Linked DNA regions of Callithrix jacchus. The protein of the gene in region 2 interacts with the protein of the main gene of each other region in a pairwise test. Links are inferred from orthologs where the notes say so. Each region holds a gene or a part of one and is shown on either strand. Other genes may lie near its edges.

What was found.
Region 1: the proteins of TRIP10 (region 2) and ARHGAP12 interact in binary tests that used the Homo sapiens proteins (3 or more experiments, as listed by UniProt). The two-hybrid records come from large-scale screens. The link is inferred for Callithrix jacchus from reciprocal best matches to the Homo sapiens genes TRIP10 and ARHGAP12.
Region 3: the proteins of TRIP10 (region 2) and ABL2 interact in binary tests that used the Homo sapiens proteins (3 or more experiments, as listed by UniProt). The link is inferred for Callithrix jacchus from reciprocal best matches to the Homo sapiens genes TRIP10 and ABL2.

Annotation. Positions count from the first base shown.
Region 1 is NC_133508.1:31,664,163-31,668,156, reverse strand, and holds part of ARHGAP12 (rho GTPase-activating protein 12), read left to right. Parts: intron 1-1,237; 5' UTR 1,238-1,314; coding exon 1,315-1,983; intron 1,984-3,994. UniProt on the Homo sapiens protein: GTPase activator for the Rho-type GTPases by converting them to an inactive GDP-bound state.
Region 2 is NC_133523.1:6,342,273-6,345,163, reverse strand, and holds the end of TRIP10 (cdc42-interacting protein 4), read right to left. Parts: intron 2,132-2,891; coding exon 1,999-2,131; intron 1,767-1,998; coding exon 1,627-1,766; intron 1,547-1,626; coding exon 1,425-1,546; intron 1,056-1,424; coding exon 907-1,055; 3' UTR 608-906; downstream 1-607. UniProt on the Homo sapiens protein: Required for translocation of GLUT4 to the plasma membrane in response to insulin signaling. Required to coordinate membrane tubulation with reorganization of the actin cytoskeleton during endocytosis.
Region 3 is NC_133519.1:24,171,790-24,175,783, forward strand, and holds part of ABL2 (tyrosine-protein kinase ABL2), read left to right. Parts: intron 1-2,203; coding exon 2,204-2,293; intron 2,294-3,712; coding exon 3,713-3,889; intron 3,890-3,994. UniProt on the Homo sapiens protein: Non-receptor tyrosine-protein kinase that plays an ABL1-overlapping role in key processes linked to cell growth and survival such as cytoskeleton remodeling in response to extracellular stimuli, cell motility and adhesion and receptor endocytosis.

The DNA of each region.
Region 1 (3,994 bases), on a different chromosome or scaffold from region 2:
TTTTTTTCTTTCTTTCTCTTTTTTTTGGAGACAGAGTCTCACTCTGTCACCCAGCTTGGAGTGCAGTGGCATGATCTTGGCTTACCACAATCTCAACCTCCCAGGCTCAGGAGATCCCACCTCAGCTTCCCAAGTAGCTGGGACTGCAGGTGCAAGCCACCACACCCGGCTAATTTTTATAATTCTTGTAGAGGTGGGGTTTTGCCATGTTGGCCAGGCTGGTCTCAAACTCCTGGGCTCAGCCTCCTAAAATGTTAGGATTACAGGTGTGAGCCACTGTGCCCTTAATCTCCCTCTCCTTATAAATGCATCAGTCATTGGATTTTGGGGCCCACCCTAAACAACTATGACCTTGTCTTAACTTGATTACATCTGTAAATACCCTCTTTCCAAATAAAGTTACACTCCCAGGTCCTGGAGTTAGGACTTGAACTATCTTTTGGGGGAACACAATTCATCCGCAGATAGGTGAGAACTGGCTCATGTTATAGTGACATGAGGATGCGGTCATCATTTAACTTGTAAAGTTATGTTCTAGGAGGTACTAAAATATTTGGGAATTAGTATAGAAATGAAAGTAAATACATATTGGTTATTATTAATGAGCCTTTCTTTTTTTTTTTTTTTTTTTTTTTTTTGAGACAGTGTCTTGCTCTGTCGCCAGGCTGGAGTGCAGTAGCACAATCTCCGCCTCCCGAGTTCAAGCGATTTTCCTGCCTTAGCCTCCAGAGTAGCTGGGACTGCAGGCACGCGCAACCATGCCCAGTTAATTTTTGTATTTTTAATAGAGACGGGGTTTCACCATGTTGGCCAGGATGGTCTCGATCTCTTGACATTGTGATCCACCTGCCTTGGCCTCCCAAAGTGCTGGGATTACAGCGTGAGCTACTGCACCTGGCCATTAGTGAGCCTTTCTAAGAAGGTGAATGAGATTTGAGGAAGTCATGAAAGGAAGGAAAGTTCTTCTCAACCGTTCTGTCTACCTGGTTAGCGTATATTTACTATTCTAGTTATTGGCTTTGGTTTTGGTCATAAGAGACTGAAAAATGTAGAGGACAATTAGAATGAAAGTGTTTTTAATGTAGCAGTACATACGATATTAGACACATGTTTGCTTTTTGGGATTTGAAGTAATGTTCTTTAAATGGCCTATACTCTATGATGCTTGTGAGTAAATACCAAATCCAGTTTGCATTAACTTTTTTCTTCATTCTCTTCCTTCATTTAAATGAAACAGCTATCTTCATCCAACAAGCCATAAAGCCATTATGTGGCATAACATCCTTTTTGAGAGGTGAATATTATTGAGTGAAAATGGCTGACAGAAGTGGGAAGATTATTCCAGGACAAGTATATATTGAGGTGGAATATGATTATGAATATGAAGCAAAGGACAGAAAGATTGTGATAAAACAAGGGGAGCGGTACATCTTGGTGAAAAAGACCAATGATGACTGGTGGCAAGTCAAGCCAGATGAGAATTCCAAAGCATTTTATGTGCCAGCCCAGTATGTGAAGGAGGTCACGCGCAAAGCTCTAATGCCACCTGTTAAGCAGGTAGCTGGTCTGCCAAATAATTCCACAAAAATAATGCAGAGTTTGCATCTTCAGAGATCAACAGAAAATGTGAACAAATTGCCTGAGCTTTCAAGTTTTGGAAAGCCATCATCGTCTGTTCAAGGAACAGGTCTTATTCGTGATGCCAATCAGAATTTTGGACCCAGTTATAATCCAGGTCAGACTCTCAACCTAAGTCTGGACCTGACCCATAATAACGGAAAGTTTAACAATGACTCACATTCTCCTAAAGTTTCCAGCCAAAATAGGACACGCTTATTTCCTGGTCCAGAGTTCTTGGACATAGAGAAAACTAGCTTCTCCCAAGAACAATCTTGTGATTCTGCAGGAGAAGGCTCCGAAAGAATACATCAAGATTCTGAATCCGGTGATGAACTTAGCAGCAGCTCCACTGAACAGATAAGGGTAAGATTAAAAATAGAATGAGGAAATACTCTAGTAAAAACCATCCTAGTAAAAACATTAGTTACGGTTTTTCTTTTAATTGAAATATTTGTAAGAGTTAAGACTTGTTTTGCTTTGTATTTTCAGAGTACATGGGTTCTCTCCTGATTTAAAGAGATAGAAAATATGTGAAATAACTTGTGGAGTTGATAAAGGTCACTTTTTGGTTTTCATAATTATTTTTATACCATTACAGGACTAGATCTACTTTTAAGTGTGGAATCTATTTTTTCCCCTCTCTCGATTGATTACGTATAAGGCAGAGGGGATTTACTTAATTTATTCAGTGATGATATTTCTTTTAATAGAAAAGTTTTTACTCTTCTACCTGTACCCATTTTGACTTGTTTCCAAGAAGTCTTCAGGTGATAATGGTTATATGAGGAAAGATGTCATTGGAATAACTGCTAACTTTTGTCTTAAGTGTCTTTAAGTATCCACACTTGATTTCAGTGCATATTACCCTGGAAAACATTTTCTGTTTTGATGTTTCTTTTTTTTGTTTTGTTTTGAAGACAAGGTCTTGCTCTGTCACCCAGGCTGTAATGCAGTGGAGCAGTCATGGCTTACTGTAGCCTGTACCTCCTGGGCTCAAGTGATCCTCTCACCTGAGCTCCTCCCCGGTAGCTAGTATTAAAGGTGTGTGTCACCACACTCACCTAATTAAAAAAATAATTGTTTTTGTAGAGACAGGGTCTCACTATGTTGCCCAGGCTGGCCACTTCCTCAACTCAAGTGATCCTCCTGCCTTGGCCTCTAGAGAGCTGGGATTATAGGTGTGTGCCACTGCACCTGGCTTCTTTTTTTTTTAACCTAACTTTCTTTCGAGATTAGGTCTATGCCATTTTATTTCTCGAGTGAAGTGAAGACATTTTAAAAGTACATGCATGAAGCTGAAACTTGAATATATTTTGAAAAGTGTAATTTTAAGTGAATTTAAAAATAATGAATTTTTGGTGTGAAGCTCTGTTGTAAAATTATTCATCAAGTCAATGAATAATTGTGAGGTGTGCCCTTAAGGTCTGATTGTCATGGAAGTAGATTCTTTCTGTAGGTTATAATTTTTCTTGTGACATTTTGGAATGAAAATAGGAAAAAGGAAGACTCCTAGAAAAACTTCTAGTGTTTGAGATGAAGGAAGCTACATTAAATAGCTCTGTCAGTTTATGATTGTGTGTCTTAATGGGTTTTTATTCAGTCTTTATGTGATACTCTGACATAGAATATATAGCTATTTTTCTATATATAGCTCCTTAGGGAATTAATTAAGACACAGGATTCCATCCAGCCATCACCACTATTTCACACTTCAAATTACATTTTATATATTATGTACACACAAAATCCTGTTGTTTATCAGGTTTTCCTTTTGTGGAATCTTGGTTTTGTATTAAGTCTAAGAACTAGTTTTAACTTTGTGGAAGTTTTCCCTTTTATAGATCATGCTTTTATGTCAAGTCTAAGAACTCATAGTTATATTAGGCTTCTCCAGAGAAATAGAACTGATAAGGGAGTGTGTGTGTGTGTGTGTGTGTGTGTGTGTGTTTGTATACAGTCATGCACTGCATAATGACATTTCAGTTAATGATGGACTTCATCTATGATGGTGGTACCTGAGATAATACTATATTCTTTTTTCTTTTGTTTTTTTTTTTGAGACGGAGTTTTGCTCTTGTTACCCAGGCTGGAGTGCAATGGCGTGATCTCGGCTCACCGCAACCTCCGCCTCCTGGGTTCAGGCAATTCTCCTGCCTCAGCCTCCTGAGTAGCTGGGATTACAGGCACGCGCCACCACGCCCAGCTAATTTTTTGTATTTTTAGTAGAGATGGGGTTTCACCATGTTTACCAGGATGGTCTTGATCTGTTGACCTCGTAATCCACGTGCCTCGGCCTCCCAAAGTGCTGGGATTACAGGCGTGAGCCACCGCGCCCGGCCGATAATACTGTATTCTTAATTCGCATTTCTGTGTT
Region 2 (2,891 bases):
CCATGGGAAGAGAATGCCTGGCAAACAGTAGGTGCTCAATAAATGCCACCCATTCTCAGAAGCTGCAGTGCATTCAGAAGGGATGAAACTTGGTGTCCTGGCTGGGTGCAGTGGCTCACGCCCATAATCCCAGCACTTTGGGAGGCCAAGGTGGATGGCTCACTTGAGGTCAGGAGTTCAAGACCAGCCTGGCCAAAATGGGAAAACCCTGCCTCTAGAGAAAATACAAAAACAATTAGCCAGGCGTGATGGTGTGTGCCTGTAATCCCAGCTACCTGGGAGGCTGAGGCAGAACTGCTTGAACCCGGGAGGTAGAGTCTGCAGTGAGCCGAGATCACGCCACTGCACTCCAGCCTGGGCAACTGGGTGAGACTATCTCAAAAAGAAAAAGAAACTTGGTATCCTTCTCTCTACCTGAGTCACAAGCAGGCAGCCAATGACAATGACATAAAGCCAACTTCCCCAAAGGGGCAGGGTTGACCCAAGGCATGCCCAAGAGCACCTGCCCTTTCTTGTTCCCTGTGTGTGTGGCCTGTAAGAAATGTGGCGTTAAGATACTTCCACTCCCAGTATTTAAATCTTCTAATAAGGCACCGACTCCAGGAACTTTATATAATTAATTTTTTTCCCATTTTTGTATAAAACAAAATAGCCGGAGCCGAGCAGCAGGAAGAAAAGATGTCAAACATGAGTATGTACATCAATGGTGGAACAATGGTGGAAGAAGGCACGGCGGGTCCATCTGGAGCAACAGGTGGAGTCAGGTGGGGGGGTTGGAGGGGGCAGCAGGTTACACAGGTTTCAGCCGAAGCCACGGGGTCAGAAATAAAGTGCATAGGTCCTGGGGCACCCCCGTGGCCCAGAAGCAGCAGCCGACAGCCCCCCTCTTCCCGCCTCCAGCAGGGTTCAATTGAGCGTGACTCGGAGGTAGGAGGTAGGAACGTAGCCCTCGCCTCCCTCTTTCCGTCTGACCCGGGTCCAGCCATCCCCTTTGTCTTCTTCCATAAGACTGAGGTCTTCACCCTCAGCCATGGAGATGGTGCCTTCGCTGGACCCTGTCATGGGGGTGGAGATAGGCTTAGATCTACTTTAGGCAAATTTATTTATTTTTTATTTTTGAGATCAAGTCTCACTCTGTCACCCAGGCTGGAGTGCAATGGCGCGATCTCGGCTCCCCGCAACCACCGCCTCCCAGGTTTAAGATTCTCCTGCCTCAGCCTCCCGAGGCATGCGCCACCACGCCTGGCTAATTTCTGTATTTTTAGTAGAGATGGGGTTTCACCATGTTCGCCAGGCTGGTCTGGAACTCTTGACCTCAAGTGATCTGTCTGTCTCAGCCTCCCAAAGTACCCAGCCCTGCTTTAGACGGATTTAAACTGAACCTAGATAGAGACACCCCGCAAGCCCACTCTGGCCGTCCTCACCTTCAAAATGGTAGATGGCCACACAGTGACCTATGGGAGATGTGGCTTCCTCCTCGAAATCTTCATCAAACTCCGTGTAAATGGGGGTTTCCTGGCTCTCTTCTGAGGGAGGCTCTTCAGAGCTGTTTGGGGAGAATTAGGCTGATAAAGATGTGCCCTCCTGGGTCCCTGGGAACACACCCACTCTGGCGTCACCCCTCACCTCTCCTTGGTGTCCTGTGATCCACTGTTGCTGCTGTTGTCTGGTGGGGCGCTAGTGGGGGGGTCAGGAGGCCGGGCATGCCGGCTCAGGCTGTCTCCACGGTTGCTAAGGACTCGACTTTCAGCTTCTGCCAGCCACGCCTGGGAGGAGAGGACCGCCAAGATCGTTTCCAGGACAGAGCTCCCAGGTCAGCCCACTCTGGCCCCGGAGGATCCCTGAGATCACTCAGGCACCGCCAAGGCTGTGATGGAAAACAGCTGGAGAACCCCCTTCCCCGCTCCAAGCACCTCCCCTGTCCCCAACCCCCACCCCACCCTGCAGTGACTCAGCCAGGCCCGCCGGCCCCCACCCCTCCCCAGGGTCTTTTCTGACCTCATACTTCTGCACTTCCAATTTCAGCCGTTCAATGTTGCCCAGGGTTTCGGTGATCTGGGGCTCCAGGCTGGCAGGGTCCCCCATCTGGGGTGTCTTCTCATAGACATCCTTCATTTTCTTCAGGGCTTCCCTACAACAATGGAGACAGGCAGACAGGAAAACGCAATTCCCTGTGAGCTTTTTTGTTGTTGCTGTTGTTTTAAGTCAGGTTCTCACTCTCTTTCCCCAGGCTGGTGTGCAGTGGTGCAACCATAGCTCACTGCAACCTTGACCTCCCAGGCTCAAGTGATCCTCCTGCCTCAGCCTCCTGAGTAGCTGGGACTACAGGCCCACATCATCACACTCGCCTGATTTTTCTCTTTTTTTTTTGAGACGGGGTCTCACTCTGTCACCCAGGCTGGAGTGCAGTGGCATAATCTTGGCTCACTGCAACCTCCGCCTCCTGGATTCAAGAGATCCTCCTGCCTCAACCTCCCCAGTAGCTGGGACTACAGGCGCACACCACCAGGCCCAGCTAATTTTTGTATTTTTAGTAGAGATGGGGTTTCACCGTGTTGGCCAGGCTGGTTTCGAACTCCTGATCTCGTGATCCGCCCACCTTGGCCTCCCAAAGTGCTGGGATTACAGGCGTTAGCCACTGTGCCCGGCCAATTCGCCTGATTTTTCAAAAATGTTTGATAGAGATGGGGTCTGGCTATGTTGCCCAGGCTGGTCTCAAACTTCTGAGCTCAAGTGATCCTCCTGCCTCAGCCTCCCAAACTGCTGGGATTAGAGGCATGAGCCAGGAGAGGGGCTCTATGTGATTTAACAAGCGAAAAAACAGGGGTTTTGCATCAAGGAGCAAATAGCAAGGCAGGACAGTGATTAAGGCTAGTGCTCGACTGCCTGGG
Region 3 (3,994 bases), on a different chromosome or scaffold from region 2:
TTGGGTTAAAGTGATTCTCCTGCCTCAGCCCTTGAGTAGCTGGAACCACAGCCACACTCCACCATGCCCAGCTAATTGTTGTTGTTGTTGCCACCCCAACTGGAGAGAATGCAGTGTCGCAGTCTCTGCAACCTCCGCCCTCCAGGTTCAAGCAATTCTCCTGCGTCAGCCTCCCAAGTAGCTGGGATTACACGTGCCTGCCACCACACATGGCTAATTTTTGTATTTTTGGTAGTGATGGGGTTTCACCATGTTGGCCAGGTTGGTCTCAAACTCCTGACCTCAAGTGATTCGCCCACCTTAGCCTCCCAAAGTGCTAGGATTACAGGCTTGAGCCACCGCGCCCTGTTTAATCTTTGTATTTTTTTTTTTTTTTTTGAGACGGAGTTTCGCTCTTGTTACCCAGGCTGGAGTGCAATGGCGCGATCTCGGCTCACCGCAACCTCCGCCTCCTGGGTTCAGGCAATTCTCCTGCCTCAGCCTCCTGAGTAGCTGGGATTACAGGCATGCGCCACCGTGCCCAGCTAATTTTTTGCATTTTTAGTAGACGGGGTTTCACCATGTTGGCCAGGATGGTCTTGATCTGTTGACCTCGTGATCCACCCGCCTCGGCCTCTCAAAGTGCTGGGATTACAGGCTTGAGCCACCGCGCCCGGCCCATCTTTGTATTTTTAGTAGAGACAGGGTTTCACCATGTTGGCCGGGCTGGTCTTGAACTCCTGGCCTCAAGTGATCCACCTGCCTCAGTCTCCCAAAGTGCTGGGATTACAGGTGTGAGCCACCATGCCCAGCTTGAACTGCAGTTGTGTCTGAACATAAGTCTGTGTTCTTTTCTCACTGAACTTTGGCGTTCTCTGTTGTACTTTGTCAAAAGTGAACTTTGAGCTCCTCCTTTTTGATATCCTTTTATATTACTGAGTATGTACAGTTGATTATACGGTCAGGCTGAGTTTGAAGACAAACTTTTACTTCTTCCATTTTCAAATGGAAGAAAACTTGTCATTTTCTAAACCATCTTCCCGTCTCTCCTCATCCTTTAGTAGAAGGAATAGGAGCTGAGGCTAAATAGAAGCACCAGCCTTAGAAAGTGGGTTCATGGCCAGGTGTGATGCTCACACTTGTAATTCTAGCAATTTGGGAAGCCAAAGTGGGCAATTGCTTGAGCTCAGGAGTTCAAAAGTAGCCTGAGCAATGTGGCAAAATCCTGTCTATAAAAATACAAATATTAGCTGGGTGTGGTGTTGCACACCCATAGTCCCAGCAACTTGGGGAGCTGAGCCAAGAGGATTGCTTGAACCCAGGAGGTCCGTGCTGGAGTGCAGTGTTGCAATCTTGGCTCACTGCAATCTCCACCTCCCAGATTCAAGTGATTCTTGTGCTTGCCTCCTGAGTAGCTGGGATTTCAGGCACCCACCACCACGCCCAGCTAATTTTTGTATTTTTAGTAGAGATGGGGTTTTGCCATGTTGATGGTCTCAGACTCCTGGCCTTATGTGATCTGTCAACCTAGTGCTGGGATTATAGATGTGAGCCACCATGCCCGACTTTCTTGGATATATCGACATGGAAAGGAATTAAAGGTTAACTTTAACTTAATAAACGAGGATATCCAGATGTCCAATAAGCGTATGAAGTGAGCTGAGATCGTGCCACTGTGCTCCAGCCTGGGTGACAGAGCAAGACCCTGTCTCCAAGAAAAAGAAAAAAGGAATTTAGAAAGTGGGTTTATTGGTTGGGCACGGTGGCCTAGCCTGTAATCCCAGCACTTTGGGAGGCCAAGGTGGGTGGATCACCTGAGGTTGGGAGTTCAAGACCAGCCTGACCAACATGGAGAAAATTCAAAAAATTAGCCAGGTGTTGTGGCACATGCCTGTAATCCCAGCTACTCGGGAGGCTGAGGAAGGAGAATTGCTTGAACCCAGGAGGCAGAGGTTGCAGTGAGCTGAGATCTCCATTGCACTCCAGCCTGGAGCTCAAAGCAAAACTCCATCTCAAAAAAAAAAAAACAAAAAACAAAAAACAGTGGGTTCGTTATACCTCTGAGTCTAGAGCTGAGAAGTGGGTATGTTGTTATCATTGTGAACATGCCATAACATGTGTCTAATAAGTACACATCATGAGGCATGGAACTCATTATTAGACATACCACTGGATATTGAATTTCTGCAAGGAGTTTTTAATATTTTCTTCTTCCGTTATGTAGGCTGGAAGTGGAGCCCTGCCGATAGGCCCTCTTTTGCTGAAACACACCAAGCTTTTGAAACCATGTTCCATGACTCCAGCATTTCTGAAGGTGAGAATCTATAGAATTTACTGTTGGTGACTAGTTCTGGGTAGTGATGGTGATGATAATGGTAATTACATTTCGAAAATGATTAACTTCTGTAGTTTGGGACTCTGTTTTATGATACTGAACTAATTTTTGACCTTGGTTATTGCTGTGTTGCTTTTTTGCTATTTTCAGTGCATCTTTGTGTCTCATATATTTTAAATTGAAGTTGTATTTTAATTAGAAATTTATTCATCTTCCCTTTAACATTAGTAAGTTTGGTAGCTCATTAAGCATCAATATTTAGGATGTAGGAAAGAGAAAAGGAAAAAATAAGTAAAAAAAAATTCTAACTCCCTGAACTGCATCTACAAAGCAGAACCAAGTTGTAAAAACAATATTCAGACATTCCATTTTTGGAAATAGATCTTAAGGAAATAAGAATATGAACAAAGATTTAACTGTAAGGACATTGCATCAGAATGTAGTTTATAATAGTGAGAAATTATGAACAACTTAAATATCTAGTGGACTGCAAATTATTACATTCATATAGCTGAATATTTAAAATGATATTCTTAGAGAGATATATATATCTGAAGCATGAGATTACAGGCATGAGGAGCCTCATACCTGTAATCCTAATCCCAGCACTTCGGGAGGCTGAGGTGGGTAGATCACAAGGAGTTTGAGATCATCCTGGCCAACATGGTGAAACCCCATCTCTACTAAAAATAAAAAAAATAGCTCGGCATGGTGGCAGGTGCCTGTAATCCCAGCTACTCAGGAGGCTGACACAGGAGAATCGTTTGAACCCAGGAGGGAGAGGTTGCACTGAGCTGAGATCAAGCCATTGCACTCCAACCTGGGTGACAGATTGAGACTCTGTCTCAAAAAAAAAAAAAATCAAGCCAAAAAAATGAAAAATAATAACATCAAATTTTAGCAAGCATGCAGAGTAACCAGAGCTTTCATGCAAAATAGTATAGCCATTTAGGGACAGGTTGGCAGGACCTGAAAAACGTGAATGCTCATATACCTTGTGATCCACCAGTTCTCCTGTGTTTGTGCCAGTCTGATGTGCATAGCATTGTCTACCAAAAGACACATGGCAGGATGATGCTAGCAATGTATTGGTAGTAACCCCAAGCTAGAAACAACCTAAACATCTATCAAGAGGAGAACAGGTGGATTGTGGTATATTCACACATTGGCATACTACACAGAAGTGAGAACCCCTGCCACATGCAGCAGCGTGGACAAATCTACAGACATGATACTGGGCAAAAGAAGACAGAAGAGTACATATTTTATGATTCTGTGTATGTTTTTTAGTACTCTCTACTTGTCAGTTCCTTCTCAGCTGTGTGCCTTTTCTGAAAAGAGCTCCCTTTCTCTGTTATGAAATTGTTCTTTTTATCAGTCCCCTTGTCTTCCTGACAGAAGTAGCTGAGGAGCTTGGGAGAGCTGCCTCCTCGTCATCTGTTGTTCCATACCTGCCCCGGCTACCTATACTTCCTTCCAAGACTCGGACACTGAAGAAACAGGCAGAGAACAAGGAGAACATTGAAGGGGCACAAGATGATGCCACAGAAAACTCTGCTTCCAGTTTAGCACCAGGTATGGGTCTCTAGGCAGCTAGAATCAAAATAGAAACTACCTTGTTGAAAGAAGCGTGGGATATGAGGCTTTTCTGTCCACTTTCATGCCCATCGTCCCTGAGGA